Linked DNA regions of Lepisosteus oculatus. The protein of the gene in region 2 purifies or fractionates together with the protein of the main gene of each other region. This does not show direct contact. Links are inferred from orthologs where the notes say so. Each region holds a gene or a part of one and is shown on either strand. Other genes may lie near its edges.

Region 1 (7,902 bases), on a different chromosome or scaffold from region 2:
AATCGTCTTGATCTATCTTACCCGTTGGAAGAAGTGCAAAAGTGTTGTCTTGGTCTATTCTGGTTTTGTATGACAGAGCACAGAGGGATCCTGCAATTATACAAAAACTTTCAAATCAGATGCAAGAGTCAGAACTACAGACATCAGGCACACTGAAAAGGGCACTCACACACACAGAGGACTGCATAAGTTTCCCACAGATTCCAAGCACTGTGCATAAAGTGCCTTCATCTAACAGTATAACACACAAGGCCAAGCAACCAGATAATGTCTGACAATAATCATTGTCATAGTATTCCATTTTGCATTTGGTGTGAATATAGTATCCATATTGATGCTACTCATTTTAATGCACAGAACACTGCGCCTTAGGAATGGGAAGACATTCACATGAACGAGCAGACAGATTTTTTCTTTAGGGAATCAGAAGTGGTGTGTCTTCAATCTCTTTCTCAGAATCAATCATGGGAATAAACGACTGAACCCGACCACTAATAAATTCAAACTCCAGTGAAAATTAAAACAGGTCTACCTGCTTTCACCTGCTTTTCAAGAAACTTCTCTTCCAGTATTTTATAGATGGGGAAGTTCTTCACCAAATAATATTTTGCAATGCTATTCACAATGCTTTTTAGCCCCAATGGTAGTGTTCCACACTCAGGAATTAAAACAGAAACCTGTTAAAAAGAACAATCAAAAGGGATAATTTAGGATATACAATTCCTATTTGTCAGATTTTTAGCAAAAGGCATAAATGCATATGAATGAGGCACTGCATCAACTTGCATTTGCTATAAAAAAAAGAAGGAAGAAGAGGGTTAATCCACACTGAAAGCAGAAACATTCTGGCCCTTGAGCCTTCTTCACACCTGGATATTTTTCAGCATGGGGAAAGTAACATTTACTTGTACCAAAATACATATGTACACACTTGTTTCTGCCAGAAAACAACTTCCCCTGACCAAACATTTCTACAGTCCACACTGATAAAAAAACAGTTTAATCTTAATCTTAATTTCTGCTTTATTTCTGTTCGTTTTCTGGAGGCAGCTGGTTCTACTGTCCCAACACACTAAAATCACCTTTGATTGGTGTTTGTAAATCCACAAAAGCGATTACTATGTTTTCTAAAGGATGGTTTGAAAAACAGAAATTCAATTCAGATTTCTGATACAATGGAGTACATAAGATGCATAAAATGAAAATGTGCATGTCAAACTAATTTCACACTATAACAAAAGAATTTATAACAACCAACCTGTTTTCTAAGAAACCAATGTATTGCTTTTAAGTGACAAAACTGATGGCACAACTGGAATTCATAAAAACTGAACCTATGAACCTTAACAATATTCAGTTTTTTGTGATGTGTTTTTGTGATGTAGAAAAATGTTGTATGAGAACGTAAGAAACATTACAAATGAGGGAAGCCCATTTTTGCCAATATATTTAATTCGGTTGGTCATAAGTCAATCCAAGGATCTTATCCAGGCATTTCATGGAAGAGCAGATGGCATCAGAAGCTTGTTCCAGACACCCACATCCTTTTGTGTGAAGAAGTGCCTCCTGTTCTCACTTTAACCTGCACTTCTGCTTAGACTCCACGTATGTCTCCGATTCACGTTTCAGTGTTAATTCTGAAGAAGCACATAGGTTAACTTTGCTAGTGCTTCTGATGATACAGTGGTGCAGAGGTTTGCATTGCTGCCTTGCAGTGCTGGGGCCCTGGGTTCAATTCCTGAGGTGATATCTGTGTGGAGTTTATATGTTCTCTCTGCGTTTGTCTGTGTTTCTCCCAGTTGCAGTGGACTGACATCCAGTCCAGAGTGTATCCTGCCTTGCACTTGTTGCTGGCTAGGATAGACTCTAGCTCCCCTGTGTCCCTGAATTGGAAGAAGAAGTTAGAAAACACCAAGATGTACGAATTCAGTAAAATCAAAATTCAAAATAAATTCTGTACTGTAGCAGAATCACCATAGGTCAGTCTTTAGATACAAGTGGATATGATTTGTAAATACATCCGGGCATTTCAGACCTTTACTCTGTCCGTCTTTATAAAAGCCAATATTTTTTCAACATAGGTTACAAACAGCATTTCTGTCTGACGTCACCGTTTCCTGTTTCTGTCACTCGAAGATTAATTTCCTAATGACATCTGTCTCTGAACTAAAATCGTCCTTGCAAATTCTACAGCCCACGACTCTCAGTATTTTTCACTTGAAGCTGCCCCAGTGCAAGATGCATACACTCTTATTATATTTAAATACTGTAAGAAAACAATCTACCAGGAATACATAACGAAATCAGACTTGAAAAGGTGCCCTGGAATCACTTATAAGACTCCAAATTACCGGTAGGATTCTGCTAAATCAAAGACGTAACCACATGAGTGGAAGAATCTATCAGGAACATAGAAGCAAAAAGAAGACAGAGATGATGTGGTATACACGAATTCTGCTTATAGGACTCTGGTGGTTTGGAATTCTGGAAGTTCTGGCTCATTTTCAGTTTCTGTTCATTTCATGCAGCTGTTCCCTGGAGACAACATACTGTAAATCAGATCTTAATCTGTATAGCCTTTTAGCGCAGACTGTCTTATTAGAAGCGACCGAATGCTTTTGCTCTTTTGTAAAGTAAGCATATTAAAATATCACCGTTTATTTTTGCGTCTGCAAAAAACATCACGTTTTCAACACTCAACACTCACCACTCACCTTGTAGTTAAAATAGTGACCGGCCACGTGGACGTCATGACGTGACTTTTCATTCAAGAAATTCGATTTCTCACACACCAGTAAATGCCTTGGACACTTCTCCAGGTCAGTCAGCATTGTTAGTCACAAGCACAAAACAGTGCCTTCATCAAAGCTGATTCAACGCGTTACTTCGTTTATGCAAAAGCAAGGCTCAAGATGAGAAGTATTTCCTCTTCTGTTTTGGTTCTTTGACCACTTCGTACACGCGCCTTTGAGTAGCCAATGGTAGGCTGTAAAATGACGCAGATGACATCACTTCCTGTCGCGTGCTCCCTGCTGCGAATTTGACCTGCCAATCTGCGCCTTACGTCACTAACCTCGCACGCAGTTGCTGATGCTGTGTAGTTTTTCAAGCGCAGGTCCTGCGCAAACACAAACGTCTTCATGGTGTTTTAGCTGTGGATGCAGCAAACTCAGGGATACGAAAACCTTGAGATTCAGTACAGGCTATGTAGTACAGCAAACCGCTTAGGAAGCACAAACTATATATTCTATTAACACATATAACATATTTTCGAATGTCCCTGATACTTTTATCTAAATCATCTTAAATGTATATATTATATAGATTTATACATTTATACAGTTAGACATTTTTGCAATAATAGTAAATTTCTTTGCTCAACTGTAGCAGAAGAGCAGAACCCCGCGTAAGAAGTGAGTCCACAATATTCGAGTTATACTATAAACCGGAGGTTTAACCAGTGCTCCATACAGTCATACAGTACATCATCTTTGTGCGGTAATGTGAGTGACAAACAAGAAACACCTTCGTAAGAAGGAAAGCGAGAAACCATAAAAAATAGTACTTTTGTATTTAAGGAGGGCTTTAAAAAATGCGGCTTTCAAACCTGAGACGTCAATGTTTGCAGGGCCGTATTATCCAAAGACTGCCAAAGACGTACGAAAATTAAACCGTTTATGGAGAAATTTTGAGCATTTTTATGATTATGATAAAACTGTAACAAATATCTCTTCTTCAATAAATATGTTTTCGAACAAAATCCTAAATTTGTATTACCTATCTACCCATTGAATTCAATACACTCTTAAAAACGCCTCCATCTACAGGGCATAGGAAACAGAGGTTGCCCAGGACCCTGGAGGACTTTAATTCAGCTCAGACTGAAAGTGTTGGAACATTCCCACAGAGCTTGTAACATTGGACAATATATACAGTATCTGTGTTTTTTAATGTAAAATAATATAATGTTTTCAAACTACAGGGGTGTATTCAGCCTACTGTATCTACTGAGTGGGTTTGGCTTTTAGTAGCTAGTGGATCTCATCCAGTGATACTTTTCCATTGTCATTGTTTATTGTGTAATCCAGAAAAATGTACATTGTCCTTGTTCTTATACAAGAAATTGTATATGGCCAATAAAGTGAACAGATCTTAAGGTGTGGTGTTAGGGTCCTTGCGACAGAAGAGCAAATTCAGTATGCAGCTCCACACCACATTACTGGTTTCCTGGATGCTCACCAGACCTGAGTAAGAACCAACTGCAAAGATAAAAGAGGACTGTTTATCAAAGCTGTGTGGCTCTGATGATGTTCAGGTGTTGGAAGTGCTTTACATTCTCTAGTTGTAGAAGTGCTCCAGATGAGTTCTGGCACATAAATTAAATACAACTGTTTATTTGCTCTGCCTTGCTCCTGTTGCTTGCCGGGATAGGCTCCAGCTCTCCTGTGATCCTGAATTGGAAGAAGCAGCTAGAAAATGGATGCATGGAATTCCTTTGGATAGACAATATTCCTTTAACAGTTAGAAAATAAAACGGTAAAATGGAGTAATTAGTAAGATTCAGATTTTTATTTTGGGTGAAACAAAAAATCATTTGCACTAAGGTTTCTAAAAAAAACCCAACGGGGCATTGCACAAACAGAGGACAACCACATAATAAAAAAACTAAAATAGCGCTGAAAGAAAAGAATCCAGGCCCTTTCAGATTAAATTTTAAATTTTATTTAGATTCTTTCAATCTTACTTGAATGGAAGTGCTAAAAATAAAATAAAAACAGTGCAGTTTTAATTCGTTTTGATTTAATTCGTTTTCATGCCAGTTGTTACAGGGGTGGCCAGTTTTGCATTTTTCCCATTCCCAAAACCTGTCCATTCCAGCAGATGGCAGCAGTATGCAGAGGAGGGAAAGGCTTAGTAGCCCTGGATCCCTAAAAAGGACTTATGGGGATCCCCAATGGGAAAGTGCATTTCAGAGACCTTTACTGAGCTTGAATGCCAAATCAGGTCAATGGTACCCTGCCACATCAGTCCTGTCCAACCTTCTCTTGTAGAACTTGGGGTGATGTGGTTTAAGCCGCATTATTGTTAGATAGAATAAGAAGCCATCTAAAAGTGGCTTACAAAGGTGGATGACTTTGTTTCTTTGACCGTACATACTTTAGAGGGCCTAGCATGCTCTTTCAAGGACAAATTGCAGTCATCAGGAATGGAAACAGGCATTCCCAAGCCACCATGAACACAGGGTTGAGGCAATCTTGGCAAAAAGGGTAGACTAGTCGGCGCAATGAGGTGCAGGTTCAACACAAAGTCTCCATCCATCAGCCTTTAAGCTCACTCATCCTGCAGGCAGAATTGGTCATTTTACGTACCAAAACAACCAAACAAAGGTCCCTGGTGGGGACTCAATGCTTAACAGGCAGCTGGAGTCTCCATGCTCCCACCAGAATTTAGCAGACAGTGGGGGTATGTCCAACCTCACATGCAGAAGACACTGCAGAAGGAGAGGTAGTGCTGGGAACATACAGTACAAAGGAGATTTCCAACCCAAAGGTGCACCAACAAATCAATGCCCAATGTGTAGTCTCAGGTTCAAAATAATGCAAGGCAAGGGGTTGATTCTTTGGAGGCAAGTAAATCCATGACCAGAGAGTTCCTGCACCTCGGCTACAACACCCAAGTGGAGGTGACATTTACACTCTGTTTACAAACACAGGAGACACGGGATCTACAAGGATAAACATCTGGGGATCATCCTGGTCAGAAAGTGATGAAATTCTGCCTCCTGCTCCTTGACCAGAATATTACCTGTTGTGGTCTATATACTTGACTGGGGTTCCTAATATTTTAGACTACTGACTTTATTGCATTTAAAAGACAACTGCACACTATCTGGAGATTTGCAATTGGACCTACGCTGTGTTCTGATTTTGTTCCATTCTCTTACTAGAAGATCATACACATTTAGTGTGTATTTTTTGTTCATTGCTTTTGGCCGTCATTGTTTCCCAATGTTTTTTATTTGTTTTGAGTGGTTTTTAATTAATCTCTTTGAGTACTTTTTTCACGGGAACCATTTTTTGAAAACTCTGTTACAAGTTTTTGTTTTTGTGACATGTTTTATTTCAGCGGTCTCATTAAATTTTCTGAAGACAGGAGCCACAGCACACTCCTTTGGAAGGAAATGTCAGTTTTATTTACCAGATGCAATTAAGGGGAAAAAACATTTAAATTAACAAATCAGCCTTTATTACAATGTGATAATATTGACTCATCTAATAGATGAAGAGGGGAACAGGGGCTCTATAAAATATTTTTTGTTTACCAGAGATGTAACTCAATTATCTTCCTGAATTTATAATTGCTATTCTACCACTGCTTAATCTAAACAGATGGTAATTTTACTGTACTACTGTAAATCAATTAAATTATACACTATTAAAATATTATACCAAACTGTGCATATCGTGCCCAGAACTTATCAACGTAAATGTTAATTTGAATTTTTAATTTTACTGTCTACCCGTTTGAAACAATGTATTGAATATCTATAGCTTTTCGTTTCTCAGTTTCAGAATAATCTTAAGAAAAGTACCAAATGTACCCATTACAACGGGGGAAAAAAATAAGGATCATAATGTTAATTCCAGCTGGTGAAGGCAGTATAGTTTTGATATGCAACAATGCGACACAACTATATCCGATGTCGTACTCTGTTAGGCTGCTGCAAATTGAAAAGTAGATGGAGACAGATTTCTGTTAAGCAATGCTACTAGGCAAAAGTGTTTCTTGGACTTTAAAATCAAACAGAAAAACGCAGTTAAAAAAGCATGTGTTAAATGTGCTTTTGATGCGGGATCTACAGTATAATATTACATAATACTGCATTATTTAGCGCGGTCAGTCTTTGGACCGGACACTCCAATATAAACGCTTTTTTTCCCGCAGTGCTTTGTTATTCAGGTACACGAGCGAACAAATATGTGCGTAGTTCACTGGTCATCAAAACAGATATTTGTGATAGTACACTTTTTGCCTTCTTTGTGACGTATTTAGTACATTTAGCTTTTAAATGCGCAAAGTCTGTGTTATGTAATTTATGCTGATTTACTTAACTGAGTTCAAACCATTGGGTTTAAAGGACATATTTAAAGATGTGATATGATGAACAAGCTGCTTTTCCTGTGTGACGTTATTTCTACAAATTCTTTCCCATTTTCATTATTTTGTTCTGTTGAGCATTTGTTGTTATTATCCAAGCATAGACTTACTTGCATTACAATACATACATTACTTATAAAATGGTAAATATATATTATTTAGATTGTATATCTCACTGCATAACGCGAACAGTGCTCTAACAACTGTTGAGTGTCTACCGAATGTAAAATAAATAATTCATATCACCAACATAACCTTTTATCTGTATGAATGAGGCAGCATATTGTATAGTTTCCCCCTAGGGGGGAAAGGTTTTAGAGGCAAGTTATACAGACTTAGTCATGGTGCTGTAAGTAGCTTTGACAAAAAGTTTTTATGTATTTTCCAGTTCATCAAGGGTTTTATGCAGTACTACTGCTGAAACACAAACACTGGTGCTTCAAAAGCACTTCAATGTTTCAGCCGTTAACGATTCGACGCTTTTTAGAATTGTGGTCAGGCCTAAGTCATTTATTGTTAAAAGGTAAACTATCCGATATTCTTTCGTTACATTTGGTAACTTCTGAGTTATCTGTTGACTTAAAAAAAACGTTTTCACGCAAAATATGCGTTATATCATGTTATTCTTGTTATAGTTAGCCAATAATTACTTTAAAACAACGAGATACGAGTGAAAGGCTTAAGCGTAACAAAAGCTGCTGAGTGCAAATTAATGACAGGGATGCTAAAACATGTCAATGCGGT
Region 2 (7,327 bases):
GTATGAACTGAGGCTATTATTATGTAGATAAATCTGTCAATAGAGTGTGCTCACACTTTGTAAGAAAATAAAGTTAAAATAATTCAAATATGATTACTGGAAAGCAGACAAAATACTCATTCCCTTTGTTTTTTTCCCACAAAATATAAAATAGTCCACAAAATATAAAGAACTTTGCAAAACACTGAGCATTTACATGGTGTAACTTTAAAAGATGGGGAATATTGTACATTCAAAAACAAATTGGCTATTTCAACTAATTAACTCACCTGAATAATCCTAAAGGCACATGGTTCATTTTGATAGGATCCTAGTAATGTCAGAGCACTCCACAGTTTCACAAGGCCACTGGAAGAAAAATATTTGCATAGTGACTCAGAGGAAGGGCTGTGGACAAACACCATTGTCGATCCTGTACATTTTAAAATACATTTAAAAAAAATAAATCATAAATCATACATATAAATAAATTGTATAACCAAACAATAATATAAAAATCTTGAATACACTTCTAATTGTTTTGAACTATAGGACATTTGACTCGTTGACTATTTTTACTATGCTTGCTTCCACATTTTTCATTTTTACAGACAAGCAATATTACTTTACCTGCTCAACACTCGTATTATCGCTTTCAGCGTGTTCTCCTCAAATTTTAGAACATCGAAAGGAAAGGCGGCTCCAATCTACAAAACATCTGTGTTATTTGTGTCTATTTCTGGAGTTGCCCATTAAAACAAAACTGCAACACACGTTAAACATATCAAGCAAAGCTAACACCTTTCTCTTTATTTCACAATACACTTCCCTTAATGAAACGCTGATAAACATAACTGTGCAACAGATATTTGCACTCCCCTTTCCTTTCTGAAGCACCTACTTTCTGGTATTTATGGTCATGTTCCCATGCAAAATGCTGCTTGAAAATCAAATACAAAACACACAAGGATTGATAGTAGCAAAGACACTATATTCATCTATTATTTCTTATAGAACAGAGGATACGCGTTTCTTCTAAAATATGGCCTAAAAGCTGTATGAACTGTACTGTATTATTCTGTAGATCCATTTGTCAACAGAGTTAACAAATTATTAACAAAATAAATTTGTCAATTTGGGTAAAAGTCCATTTAAATATTTCCAAACTGGGTCTGTATATCAAGATGGAGTCTAGCTCTGTATATCTGGTACATCAAACTTATATTTGCATTTACATACCTCTCCATACAGGTCTCTGAGGGCTGAAATGATCAGCTGCTTGAACTGGGCCTCACTGAGTCTTTTGTCACTGTCTTGGAATACTCTGTAAAAACAAGGCCAGAGTTTTCCACCAACAGAGAAGGAAACAAAATTCTGCCCTGTCTGCATCTAGAGAAAAGTCGCTTAGATATTTGGCAATGCATTTCTCACACCTGCAAAATCACAGCCGAATTCTCATGAGAGCTTGATTTAAAAAAAAGAGGGATGATTTAAAAAAAATGTATTTATAGCAATTTGTTTTCTAACCACTTGATCCAATTCAGGGTCATGGGGCAGCTGGAGCCTATCCCAGCAAGCAACGAAAGTGAGGCAGGATACAGCCTGGGCCAGACGCCAGTCCATTGCAAGGCAGAGACAAACGCCTACACTCAGACCAAGGCCAACATTCCTAGAAGTCAAATAACCTACCCATTAATCCTCCTATGGACTTTGGGAAGAAACCAAAGCACCCAGCCAAAACCCACACAAACTCAGGGAGGACATACAAACTCTATGCAGATAGCACCCCAGGTCTGGAATTAAACTCATGGCCCCAGTGATGCAAGACACCAATACTAATCACTGATCCACCAAATCTCCCTAGATATTTCTATACATCTTTATAATAAATTTGAACACATTCATATTGATGTGTAGGATGTTAGAAAAATAATCTTCAGTTTTAAAATCAAACAACAACACCGTACATCAGTTGAGCAATACTGGTCAGAGTTGAACAATGATTTCCAGAACACGTCTGTGAACATTTTAGTGTAAAACCTAGCTATGGTGTAAATTACGATACAATTAAAAAAATATATTAAAGACATTGAAACAGCCTGGAAACAACACTCGTTGCTATTATCAGATTAACTGCAGTACATTTAATGAGGTGCCAGGTGAGCGTTCATGCGTGATCAAACAATTTGTAGGAGACACCAAGAAATGCTCGTGAAAACAAAACATGCCGGCACACTCACAGGGAGATCCTCAGATAATGGTACACTGATGCATTCTTCAAAACAAGCCTTTCATAACTTGCAGGTTCCTCCTCCTGTTTCCCAGAGCGTCTCATGCTATTTCCTTAACAAAGAGAAAAATCCCGTAATCACACAGCAGAAAATAATGTTCTGCACAGATTGCACGGCCCTGCAATTCCACTGTGTTTGTTAACTTTAGAGGAGCAACATAACGTATTGCTTTGGGTTTAAGTGAGAAACTTTGTAACCATGCAATAACAAAAAATAAAATTACAATACAGCAACAATGTGTGGTATGATCAACTCACACAGTTGTTTCCTAACAATGTTAATTTAGTCAACCCCGTTATATTCTGTAGCGAGAAAGTAGTTTCTAAAAGCTGCTTTATTTTTGCACCCTTAATTCACGATTTCGCGAATGTTATAGGAAAAAAGACTAAAAGAAATGCTGTCAGTATTTCGCAAATATATCATTCTATTAATAATAATAATAATAATATCTGCGAGATTTTCTGTGAGAAGACATTATTACTTAAGACAGCATTTGCTTTTGATTCAGTGTTGCAAGGCAGAAGCTAAGAAAAAGGCTCCTAATGATACAGAGCAAAGTAAACAGATTTGTAGTACTCAACATGTCAGAGACTGGTGTTGGTTTGATTAAAAATTCTTCACATTACCTGACACCTTAACTCAGATTAAACTCCGCACTGTAACCACGTTTCAAGTCGTACTTCCTGTTCTACAGCCTTTGCAGTCCGACCTAGCTCTGTGCTCGTATACAGTTCTGTACCTAATGTCCTCAAAAGGTCCATATGACGTCCTAATATAAATCAAATCTCAGTCCACGTCTCCAGTAGTAAATAAATAAAATTATCTTTACTTTCTACATCACGGAATTTAATACACGGAAAAGCATTACGATTCGTTATTTCGGCTAAATTGTTTGGTCACTTGTGAAGGATTGGTCATTTAGACATCATCATAATAATAATAATAATAATAATAATAATAATAATAATAATAATAATAATAATAATAATTGCTTACACTTATATAGCGCTTTTCTGGACACTCCACTCAAAGCGCTTTACAGGTAATGGGAACTCCCCTCCACCACCACCAATGTGCAGCATCCACCTACATAATAACATAATAATTCTGCTCCCAAATTTCGTACACGGCTTTACTCCACCTTAATATTTATTCTTAATATTTAAACTAAAGTTTCTACAACATACAAAAATACTGTCTTTCAGAAAACATTTTAGTTACACTACTAAAAGTGGAGGCAATTCATTGTATCCACCAGTTAACTGATATTAAAATGAAAGTGGGTGGCGCAGTGGTTAGCTTAACTGTCTTGCAGTGCTCTGGCCCTGGGTTCAATTCCTGGGGAGCTACTGTATCTATGTGGAGTTTGTGTGATTTCCCATGTGGGTTTCATCTAAGTTCTCCAGTTTCTTCCCCCAGTCTACAGACATACTGGTGGTAGGTGAATTGGCTTCTGGGATAATTAGCCCTGGTGTGTCTGCATTTGTACTGCCTTGTGATGGACTGGTGTCTCATCCCTGCCTTGTGCCCATTGACCCTAAATTGGAAGAAGTGGTTAGAAAATGGATGCACAACGAAATTAAGCATGTCACATCTTGAACAACAGTTTCTATTCTCGTCATGAGGAGCTTATTACTAATCATAATACTATTTACATACACATTTCTACAGTAATTACAATAAAATATTAAAAATGAGAATTGTTTCTATATTTTAGCACAATGAAAACTCCATAAAATATACCAATAAACACAATATGGTAATTGTGTGCAGTACAATAAATACCTACTATGGATAATTTTCAATACTTGCTTGAGACTTATATACAATTATAATACCTAAAGAAAAAAAATCTTGAGGACTAAGTTAATTTTCAAGGTACACTATATAGTATCTCAAACTCCATTCCTGCAAGGCCCAGTGCCTTCTGATTTTTGTTCTGATCATGTTCTCTGTTACATTTATTTATTTAATTAATTATTCAATGTAACATTTCTAACATGTTTCTAGGTGATTTCTACGCAACAGAACCTTTAATGAAGTGAACGTCTGGCTCTTGCCTAGTCAACTAAAAGACCTTTTGAAAAATCCTATATATTGTCAAAGCTATAGGAAGTGGCTATTGAGGAGTCATAAGAATTAAAGACAAGGATCGACACCTGAGGTGTTCTCTGACTTGTAATGGGTCTGGTTTACCTTGGTTCATTAAATTCTTGGCAAATAATTAAGAGTCATCAACAGTCTGGGAACAAAGACAGAGAGAGGGTAAAAAGAGAACAGGGAGGAGATGAGGCAGACTGCAAAACACAAGGAGAGAGAAAAAGGAGTGCCAGGCTACAGGTTCTGGTTTGGATCAACCAATGAAGACAAGATTCTAGATAAATATTTGAACCTTGTTAAGAGAGTTTGCCATTCTGTTATTCTCAGGGAACTTTTATTTCTTGTATATAAAATCCCTAGATTAAAAACAATCTCACCTGGTCAAAGGATGCATTTAGGGAGATGCATCCCATTCACTTTGTAGCATCTGGATTTATAGAGGGAGAGATTTAACTGTAGGTCTTTAAATCTTTAATTAAGAAGGCAGGCTTAGTTCTTCACAGTTGACCTGTGAGGGCATTATTTAGGATTGGTGCATACTTTGTGAAAGTAATCTGGGTTTTTTTTTCCAAGACATGAAATGTCTTGTTTATAAATAGAGTAATTTGAATGTTTTATGTTGTGCATTTAGTTTATGTTGTTATTTTTTAATAAATATTAGTTTATTCCAATTTGTGCCTGAGTTGACTGAGCTGTGTCAGAGAACAAAGATCTCAAATGCCTCTTACTATACCAACCTGTTGTGTATATTCTTGGTATAATCTTTACAATTAGTCTATTATTCTTGATTATCCCACCCAGTATTGTTTGTTATTCTCTATTTTCTTAACCCAATATTTGTTAATTATCTAATTAAGAAAAGACTTAGGGGAATTGGCTGACTACTCAGGTTGGAACAAAAACCAAAAGACATCCTGTCCAAAACATCAAGTCAACAATCCGAACATCAGCAGGTATCTGCAGGATTGTTCCAGTTTGCTTCAGTGCAGCACAGAGTGTAGGCCAATAGTTGTAAACCAACCCTGGTTAATGGAGAGCTGGAATCTAGCAGGTCTTTTGGGTCACCCTCACATTTCTGAAGACTGAACACGTGCATTCTGATCTATTTAGGGGGTTAACTGGTTCAGTGAAATCAGGATAAGAAAGCTGTGGTCCAAATGACCGCTCAAAAACCGAATTGAATAGCTCACCCTCTCCAGTGTTTGAGATACTCCAGGTGTTTAGGAATTGGGGGGGCAATGAGTGACCCATCAGACCTGCTGGACTGTGATTCTCAAGGACCCGGGTTGGCCATCCCTTGGTACAGACAAATGTCAAAGATCTCAGAAAGGGGGCAGAGGGCTGGGGGAAAACACTGTTCTGCCAAGATGTTCTCTGCAGGAAGAGCCCAGATGCACTGAACAAATGCAATACATCCTTTTCAGACAGGAAGGCTTATTAAGCTTTTCTGGGCTCCAGTGACTGGTGTTTTAGAAAAGATGACAGAATAGACAGTGGTACAGTAAACAAAAGAAACAGATGAAGGTGCAAAACTGTTTGATTTGCATTATGATATCCTTACTTGGTTTTGACTTGGTCCTACCAATTGTGCATTTTTTCACAACCATACAGCTTTGTGCAGAGAATTCAGAGCACAATAAAACACTTTGTAGCTCATATAGGGTTTTATGTCATGGCTGCAGGAGGATTAAAAGCAGTGCTCTGGACTACAAAAAACGATACTGTTAGTCCCTGCTTAGAGAATATACTGAGTGAACTAATTAAAAATATATTCTGTATTTGAATGTTGAGGGTCAGGTTTTTGCTTAATTGTGCTTCACAGTCTGTATTGCATTCAGAGGAATAGTGATTTCATTTACCTGTGGTCCTGGATGCAGCATTATTTAAACAGAGGTAAAATAGAATGCTCTAAAAGTTTAGCTATATACAGTATAGTTAAGCTTATACACATGGGTAAAATATGTATTACACTTAACCATCTTCATTTCATAGTATTCATATTTGAACTCCTAAATCTGTAGTTCTTTTGAATGTATTTTTATTTAACACATGAAAATTAACATGGATATCTGTCTGTGCTCTGAAATTAAAGCCAGACCTGGTTAGGCAGTCTGTCAGACTGAGACTCTCCAACTGTTAGGTATGACCTCTGTACCTGGCCTGAGATGAGCAGAGACATAGACGTTTCACAGGAAATGAGCAGGCATGCATTTTCTGTTAGTACACGCTGAGAAATATGTTGCAAATTTTGGATTTTTAGCAGTGGAAGAGACAAATTCACTTAATTACGCTAAAGCAATTTTCTTGCAGTTACAGTATGTCAACCACCTCCCAGACCTCCACTGTCCTTAAATCAAGAACACTTCTGTTACACTATAGTACTGAATACATTTAAAAATGTACATCATTAAATAGTTTCCCCCAGTTTGCTGCCTTATCTTAAATGAAAGAAAACACAGAGATTCAACACTTCAGCTCAAGGGCTACAAACAACACTTTATAAATGCATAACAATCTATTAAAACTCTAGTATGCAGTAATAAATAATTTATATATGAGAACGGTCAGACATTTGTTACCAACTAAACATTAGTAGTTGTTAGTTCATACCAGGCTAATAAACAAGCTGTTAATGCTATCAACTATTACAAGAAACAAAGACTTTAAAATAGTTCAAGTAGGTAGCTGCGTCAGCATGCGCAGATTGCAAAGGAACAAGTAAAGGTTTATTCCATGCTGAAAACAGAAGAAAAGAAACACAATGCTTCAACTGTGGAGCCTTCGGGTGTGAGAAAGGCAGGAAAGTCAGCAGGTAATAAAGCATGGGAGAACAAAAGCCGGGAATGGAGAGGAGGAGGGAGGAGAGCAGCAGAGTGGGCACTCAGGTGGTGCGAAGTCGAGAGAGGTGAAGAGGTGTGAAGTCAAAACCCTCAAATGAACAGAGAGGATTTGAAGGA
Region 3 (6,715 bases), on a different chromosome or scaffold from region 2:
CATGTATGAGTGTAGCTTGACTAGCGTCATTACTTGTACATTACTTTAAAAATAAAATGCTGACTTTTTCAGTTTTCATTTTATTTACCTGTTATCATATTCAATGCTTAGTTTTTACACCTTACATAAAACTTAATACCTGTATAGTAAAAAATAAAATACAAATGGCGTATGTGTACTGTAACCTTTTAATCAAAATATGACATCATAGGCAGAGACTGATATCTTACCTTTCTGATGGTATTATGTTTAAAAAATTATATAAAACTACATTCAGGTTATATGCATAAGCTATATTATGAAATGTAAATGGATATCGTGTTTAGACTTGGGTCCCATTGCCAAGCTGTCCCATTTTATAGATGCAAATAATCAGAAAAAATCCTAAATCTGCAACACTTTCGATCCCAGGAATTTCAGATAAGGGATTCTCAACCTCTATTACAATGTTTCCAGTCTCTGACCTCCCAGACACTGTCTCCTGTCCCTGACCCCCCAAACACTGTTTCTCCTCTCCCCACTCCCCAGACACTGAGCTTCCTCTACCCTACTCCCCAGACACGGAGTCTCCTCTCCCCAACTCCCCAGACACTGATTCTCCTCTACCTATCTCTCCTGACTCTGTCTCCTCTCCCTTACACTGTGTCTCCTCTCCCTAACTCTCCAGACACCGTGTCTCCTCTCCCTGACCTCCCAGACACTGTGTCTCCTCTCCCCAACTCCCCAGACACTGAGTGTCCTCTACCTGTCTCCCCAGACACTGAGTCTCCTCTGACTGACACCCCAGACACTGTGTCTCCTCTCCCTGACCCCAACCTTCCCCCTACATTAAGACACGATGGCTCTTAAGTGTCGCCGATAAAGAATTCATAGGCGACCTGTCAGGGCCTTGTAAGCGGGCAGCCGACACTCATTCAATTATTCAGGTGACAAATTAAAGTTTAATCCTGACCAAACAGTGGGGCTATTATCTGACAGAGGTGTGAGTGAGAGTGAGGAAGAACAGTTAGCATGAGCTCTGTCCACCTCATCACCTGACCCGAGCCCCAGCCCTCTCAGTATCAGCACAGTAATGACCCTGCTGTCGGGCTCTGTGGGTCTGCGGTCCACTACACTTCATTGCATTATGTGTTACTGAGTTCTGTCTCTGAATTGCTTTCTATCACATGCATTAAACAGTATTCTATTGTACACTGTCTTCTACTGTGCAGGGGTCGTTGTGCTGGATGGCCTGTATGGCTGTGTGTTGTGCTGTACTCCCAGGTTCTGCAGGAGCAGTGGGGACTGACCGTCACAGTGCTATATTGCCTGTGTGCCTGGATATGTTATCACTCTGTATCCTCTCTGACTGTCTCTCAGCAGACACTCACGGAGGTGAAGCGTCTCTGGTATCAATCTGAACCTGCTGAAGAAATTAGTGTGTCTGCGAGTCTGTGTGTGAGTGAGTCTGTGTGAGTGTCAGTGTGTGTCTGTGTGTGTTTGGAGACTGGGGGACAGACTGGGAACTGACAGGGGAAAGATTGGGGGACAGACTGGGAGCTGACTGGGACAGACTGGGGGACAAACTGGTAGCCAGACAGATAAGAGTGTTTGAGCTGCACTGCGCTGAGCTCATGACGGCGTCTCAGTGTGACGCAAGCCCTCATTAGAGTTAATGACACTGGTGTCATCCTGCACAGAGGCAATTAGCCTCTCGTAAGGATGTCATTATAATTAAGGCATTAGCGTAAATTGCAGAGTGGGATTAAACAGCGACATTGTCTCAGCTAATTCCAGTCATGGAGACTCCTGTGTCACACTCCCTGTTCCCCGAGAGACTCAGTTACACACAGCAACCATTTACTGCAGAATCCGTCTGTATAAATACAGTAGAGTCGCGATTATCCGACATGCCGTTTAATCCGACATAGCCAATCACCAGTGTACAGTATTTACTGTGCACTATGCGTGCGCCTGCATAAGATTTTGCCCAATCCGATGCTGCTCTGTCACGTGCTGCCATTGACGTAGTTTCATTTGCTAACTTCGCGCTCGTGATTGTTTTTCCTGTTGTCTTTGGAAGCGGCACCAGCTCACGCTGAACAGCAAGACGAGGCCACTGCTACTGATGGCATGTTACTAAGACTTCGCCGCAAGGAAGAGAAGCACATCTGGGAAACAGATTCCAATCACTCATTTTTTTAAATAATAACTAACAATAGTTCTGTACTCTGTTATTTTAGTATTACAGTAGATTAATAAACCAGATTTCATTCATATACTGCGCTTCCATTAATCTATGATTTGTCTACTCAGTTTCCGCATTATCCGAAATTTCCAATTATCCGATACTATCGGCCCCGGTTAGGTAGGATAATCGCGAGTGTACTGTACTAACACCCACGGGTGACACAGCCTCCACAGTGAGCCCAGGAGCTCTTGTCGGTTTCCAGTGTCACAATATCCGCGATCTGCCCGGTGCAGAGGGGTGGAATGACAGAGACAGACGATACCGGGACGTGTGAACGGAGAAGTGGGGTACTAGCGCCACCTGGCGCATGAAACCGTCAAAATCCCCGCAAGCTCTTTAAGCACCAGTGAACCGCGGCAGACGTGAATAACCGGAATGTGAAATGACAGGACGTTATTTTATAATAATAATAATAATAATAATAATAATAATAATAATAATAATTGCTTACACTAATATAGCGCTTTTCTGGACACTCCACTCAAAGCGCTTTACAGGTAATGGGGATCTCCTCCACCAATAGGGATCCCCTCCACGTCCAATGTGCAGCCCCACCTGGATGATGCGACGGCAGCCATAGTGCGCCAGTACACTCCCCACACACCAGCTCTCAGTGGGGAGGAGAGCAGAGTAATGAAGCCAGTTCAGAGATGGGGATTATTAGGGACCATGATTGGTAAGGGCCAATGGGAAATTTGTCCAGGACACGGGGTTACGGGAGAAACGCCCTGGGATTTTTAATGACCACAGAGAGTCAGGATCTCGGTTTTACGTCTCATCCAAAGGATGGCGCCTGTTTACAGTAGAGTGTCCCCGTCACTATACTGGGGCATTAGGACCCACACAGACTGCAGGGTGAGCGCCCCCTGCTGGCCCTACTAACATCGCTTCCAGTGGCAACCTTAGTTTTTCCCAGGAGTCTCCCATCCAGGTACTGACCAGGCTCACACTGCTGGGCTTCAGTGGGCTGCCAGCTGGGAGTTGCAGGGTGATGTGGCTGCTGTGTGATATTTTCTGGAGTCCGCGGCTGTTCCTCTGCGCCCCGCCGAGGGAGTGAATCAGAGGCGCACAGCTCGCACCCAGCGTCGGAGCTTCAGTTTTAAACGTCACACCTCTCCTGCCTTTCCTCTGCCATATGTATTGGTAAAATATGAGCAGCGTCAGACTAGCGTTCCTTTTCGCGAATTCTACTGGGAATTCACTTTACTCCGAGAACAGCCGATTTAATTAGACAAAGTGGTGGGAATTCTACACCAGCTTCGAGAGAGTCGTCCTGTTTGTTAGTTTGTTAAATAAATGCTCTAGATTTGTGTTGAACATAGTAAGGTTCATTTTTATAACAAGTTTTATACAGTATGTGAAGTAGGGACCTGCGTCAGCACGCGTAGGCTGCAAAGGAACGAGGTTTATTCCTGAAGAAAAGAGAAGAAAAGAAACCCGAAGCCTCCACAGCCGAAACGTTGTGTTTCTTTTCAGTGTGGAATAAGTCTGTACTTGTTCCTTTATAATGCAATATGCGTATATGTACGGAGCCCGGGAGGGGCCATCAGTAAGAAAAAAAAGTTAAATCGAGTGAACGATTTACAATTCGTGCGCACGAAATAACGTTTTCTAACGTTATGTATATATAGGAACAAATAATATCAAATAATGCTGAGAAGAGAAAAAAGAAAACACAACGTTTCAGCCGTTCCGGTGTCATGTATATCTGTATATATGTTGTACATGAAATTAGATAGTAATGAAGACGGTGCACACAAGCACAACACACCCTCTAGCGGACACACATATAATTACATATAAATACATATAATTACACACATTCTCTCTGCATACGTCATAGTTCACGCCCCCTTCAGTCAGGAAGGGAAGTTGAAAGTCTATAGGCCAGCTCATCCATCAATTACACGGAGTTCTGCACGTCATACACACACGCGTGTACACGGCTAGGACTGCGACTTTATTGGCTTATTTTGTTGTCAATCTTCATTCACTGTGCCCGCCCTTTCCATAATACTCCGATATGATTGGCTCAGTTCAGAGCAGGAAGTCAGGCTACACTGAAACAGAAACGCGCGTGTGGGCTGCAGGATGGTGCGATTCAAGTCGAGGTGAGGCGAGGAATTGAGTTGTTGTTGTTAAATAAGAGTTGAAGCTCATTATCCCAAAGCCGTTAAAGGTTTTCTGTCATCTGAGAGTGTGACAAGTTGTCGTGTTTTCAGTATTGGCAAAAATATCAAATAATGTATGAGAAGAAGTATAACTGAATTTATATTATATATAGCTGAGTTTCTATAATAATTTCTGAAAACTGCTGTCCCATTATTGTCGATTTCTTCAATATCCTGCAGGACCCCATGTCTCCTGATCCCAGTAGGAGCCCCGCTCCTGGACGCGCTAGTGCATTTTCAGATGTTTAAACATGTAGATGCGCTCGGTCTTCCGCTGTAATGCTGCGATTCCCTCGGCCGGGTCGGGCCTGTCGAGGAGAATCGGACCCGGCGCGAACGCAGCCCGGCCTCCCCCCAGCGCGTCACTCTGTCTCTGCCGCAGATACCTGCTGTGCGAGGTGCGGATGTCGGACCCGCCGTCCCTCCAGCTGCTGGACGATCGCTCCGTGTTCACGGCCTTGAGGAACGCGGTCTCCCGAGCTCATGGGGACTACGGAGCTGGGGTCTGCGGCCTCTCCTTCGCAGGTAGCGCCTCCCGCTGGACGCTGTACTGTACCGCTTGCCCTGTCCTTCCTCTGGGCTGTGCAGCTAATCTCCTGCCCCCTGGTCTCCCGCAGTGAAGTACCTGAACGCCCGGACAGGGGTGCTGTTCCTGCGCTGCCGCAAGAGCCACTACCGCCTGATCTGGTCGGCGCTGCCCTTCGTCAGCAGCCTGGAGAGCCGGGGCCAGCGGCTGCCCTGCGCCGTCGACTGCCTGCACGTGGGGGGTGAGGGCCGGGACCCCGAGACTCTGCACACGCCCCCGGGCTGCTGAGGCACTCACCCCTGTCCCTCCGCTTTCTGCAGGGACCATCCGGACCTGCCAGAAGTTCCTGATCCGGTACAACGCGCGCCAGATCCAGCGCCTGCTGCCGCAGTGCCGCAGCGAGGGTGAGGGTGAGGGGCGCGGGCGAGCTGGGTTTCGGGGGGCCTGTCCCTGGTATTGAGGGGTGGCAGTGGGGCAGTACTGTACCTCAAGCCCTGAGCAGACATGATGTCTGGGGGGGCTGGGGTTCAGACAGAGACGTGTGGGGTGCTGTCTTTGCAGAGGAGTGCGTGGAGGTGCGCAGGGCAGTGATGAGCTGCTCGCTGAAGGAGCTTGAGGAAGAGGAGGAGGATGAAGAGGTCTGCTGACTAAACCAGGTGCTGGCAGAACAGCGGGAGGATGAGCCCCGAGAGCTGCCTTGGCCCGGCCCTGCTCGGCTCACTCTCGGCACCATGTCTCGTGAACTAGACTCCCTGCACCCGGCTGAGGAACCTCAGTCTGGCTGGGGGTCAAGAGTCCCCCCTTCTAACTACTGTTCACAGATGCTCCTGGATCAGTACTGTCCAGTTACTGCTGTGGTGTCCAGCTGTAGGCCAGCAGTTTTTTGGCAGGAGGGTCTCTCAACAGCATCATAACCCCCTCCTGGCACATGTGTCTTGGTCTTTAAAGATTCCAGCCTGATGGGGTCGGGTAGCTTGTAAAAAAAGAAGCTGGAGTTGAAGACTCTGCTATGTAGTGCTTATGCTGAATGGTTCGTCAGTGTGTATGTTTCTGTAGAGGGGTGAGGTTTCTGCAGGGCAGGGTCCAGAGCCGTTGGTTTTTAATGAAGAATCTCAACAGACTGCCCGTTGCTTCATGCATTAGATAAATACATTTATTGTAAAAAGGCAGCAGTCTGCATTGATTGTATGTTCACTACCAGTTGAGTAACTACAGCTCTAACCAGTTCACTACCTTTCTAAAAACCCTGAAAGTTCCCCTTATTAAATTGTACCCTCACTAAATCTCAGAGTCAGAAGGCATTTCCTGATTGTGCACAACTTTATTACTTCAACAGACGTCTCTTGGCTCGCTAAACAAGTCCTCATTTTTTCCACTTCAAAAACACAAAACAAGGAATCCAACACAAAATACTTTGTTTTTAAATATCTTTTTTTTTTGTCAACGCCCCCAAAAAACAATTGCAAAAATGCAGTCTCAAGCTTCCTAAGTGTTGAATAATTTTAGCAGCACTGGAGAAAGTAGGCAATGAGCAGACTGAGATGGGTGAACAGGTAACAATTGGTCACAGTGCATACCTGGAGAGCTGCAGGTAAGCAATGAGAACACTGTCAGGTGGGTAGTGGGGCTCATAGTGCATACCTGGAGAGTTGCAGGTAAGCAATAAGAACACCGTCAGGTGGGTAGCATAGGTCATAGTGCACACCTGGGGAGAGTGCAGTTCACACTTTGTTCTGTATAAGTAGTGGCAGCAATGTTTTAGTTATTTTGAAACTTATTGAGATGGGT

The links. Proteins that work in one complex are often made in the same cells at the same time.
Region 1: the proteins of rpp14 (region 2) and rpp40 purify together in Homo sapiens (co-immunoprecipitation; 3 studies listed by BioGRID and IntAct, with this or other methods). This does not show direct contact. The link is inferred for Lepisosteus oculatus from reciprocal best matches to the Homo sapiens genes RPP14 and RPP40.
Region 3: the proteins of rpp14 (region 2) and pop5 purify together in Homo sapiens (co-immunoprecipitation; 3 studies listed by BioGRID and IntAct, with this or other methods). This does not show direct contact. The link is inferred for Lepisosteus oculatus from reciprocal best matches to the Homo sapiens genes RPP14 and POP5.

The regions. Positions count from the first base shown.
Region 1 is NC_090701.1:18,538,502-18,546,403, reverse strand, and holds the start of rpp40 (ribonuclease P protein subunit p40), read right to left. Parts: upstream 3,006-7,902; 5' UTR 2,832-3,005; coding exon 2,715-2,831; intron 678-2,714; coding exon 533-677; intron 91-532; coding exon 22-90; intron 1-21. UniProt on the Homo sapiens protein: Component of ribonuclease P, a ribonucleoprotein complex that generates mature tRNA molecules by cleaving their 5'-ends. Also a component of the MRP ribonuclease complex, which cleaves pre-rRNA sequences.
Region 2 is NC_090699.1:56,404,945-56,412,271, forward strand, and holds the start of rpp14 (ribonuclease P protein subunit p14), read right to left. Parts: upstream 3,001-7,327; 5' UTR 2,897-3,000; exon of another isoform or gene 2,852-2,896; intron 2,323-2,851; 5' UTR 2,315-2,322; coding exon 2,220-2,314; intron 1,304-2,219; coding exon 1,219-1,303; intron 687-1,218; coding exon 610-686; intron 349-609; coding exon 270-348; intron 1-269. UniProt on the Homo sapiens protein: Component of ribonuclease P, a ribonucleoprotein complex that generates mature tRNA molecules by cleaving their 5'-ends.
Region 3 is NC_090717.1:200,788-207,502, reverse strand, and holds pop5 (ribonuclease P/MRP protein subunit POP5), read left to right. Parts: upstream 1-4,255; 5' UTR 4,256-4,321; coding exon 4,322-4,341; intron 4,342-4,783; coding exon 4,784-4,926; intron 4,927-5,018; coding exon 5,019-5,168; intron 5,169-5,247; coding exon 5,248-5,331; intron 5,332-5,488; coding exon 5,489-5,574; 3' UTR 5,575-6,210; downstream 6,211-6,715. UniProt on the Homo sapiens protein: Component of ribonuclease P, a protein complex that generates mature tRNA molecules by cleaving their 5'-ends. Also a component of the MRP ribonuclease complex, which cleaves pre-rRNA sequences.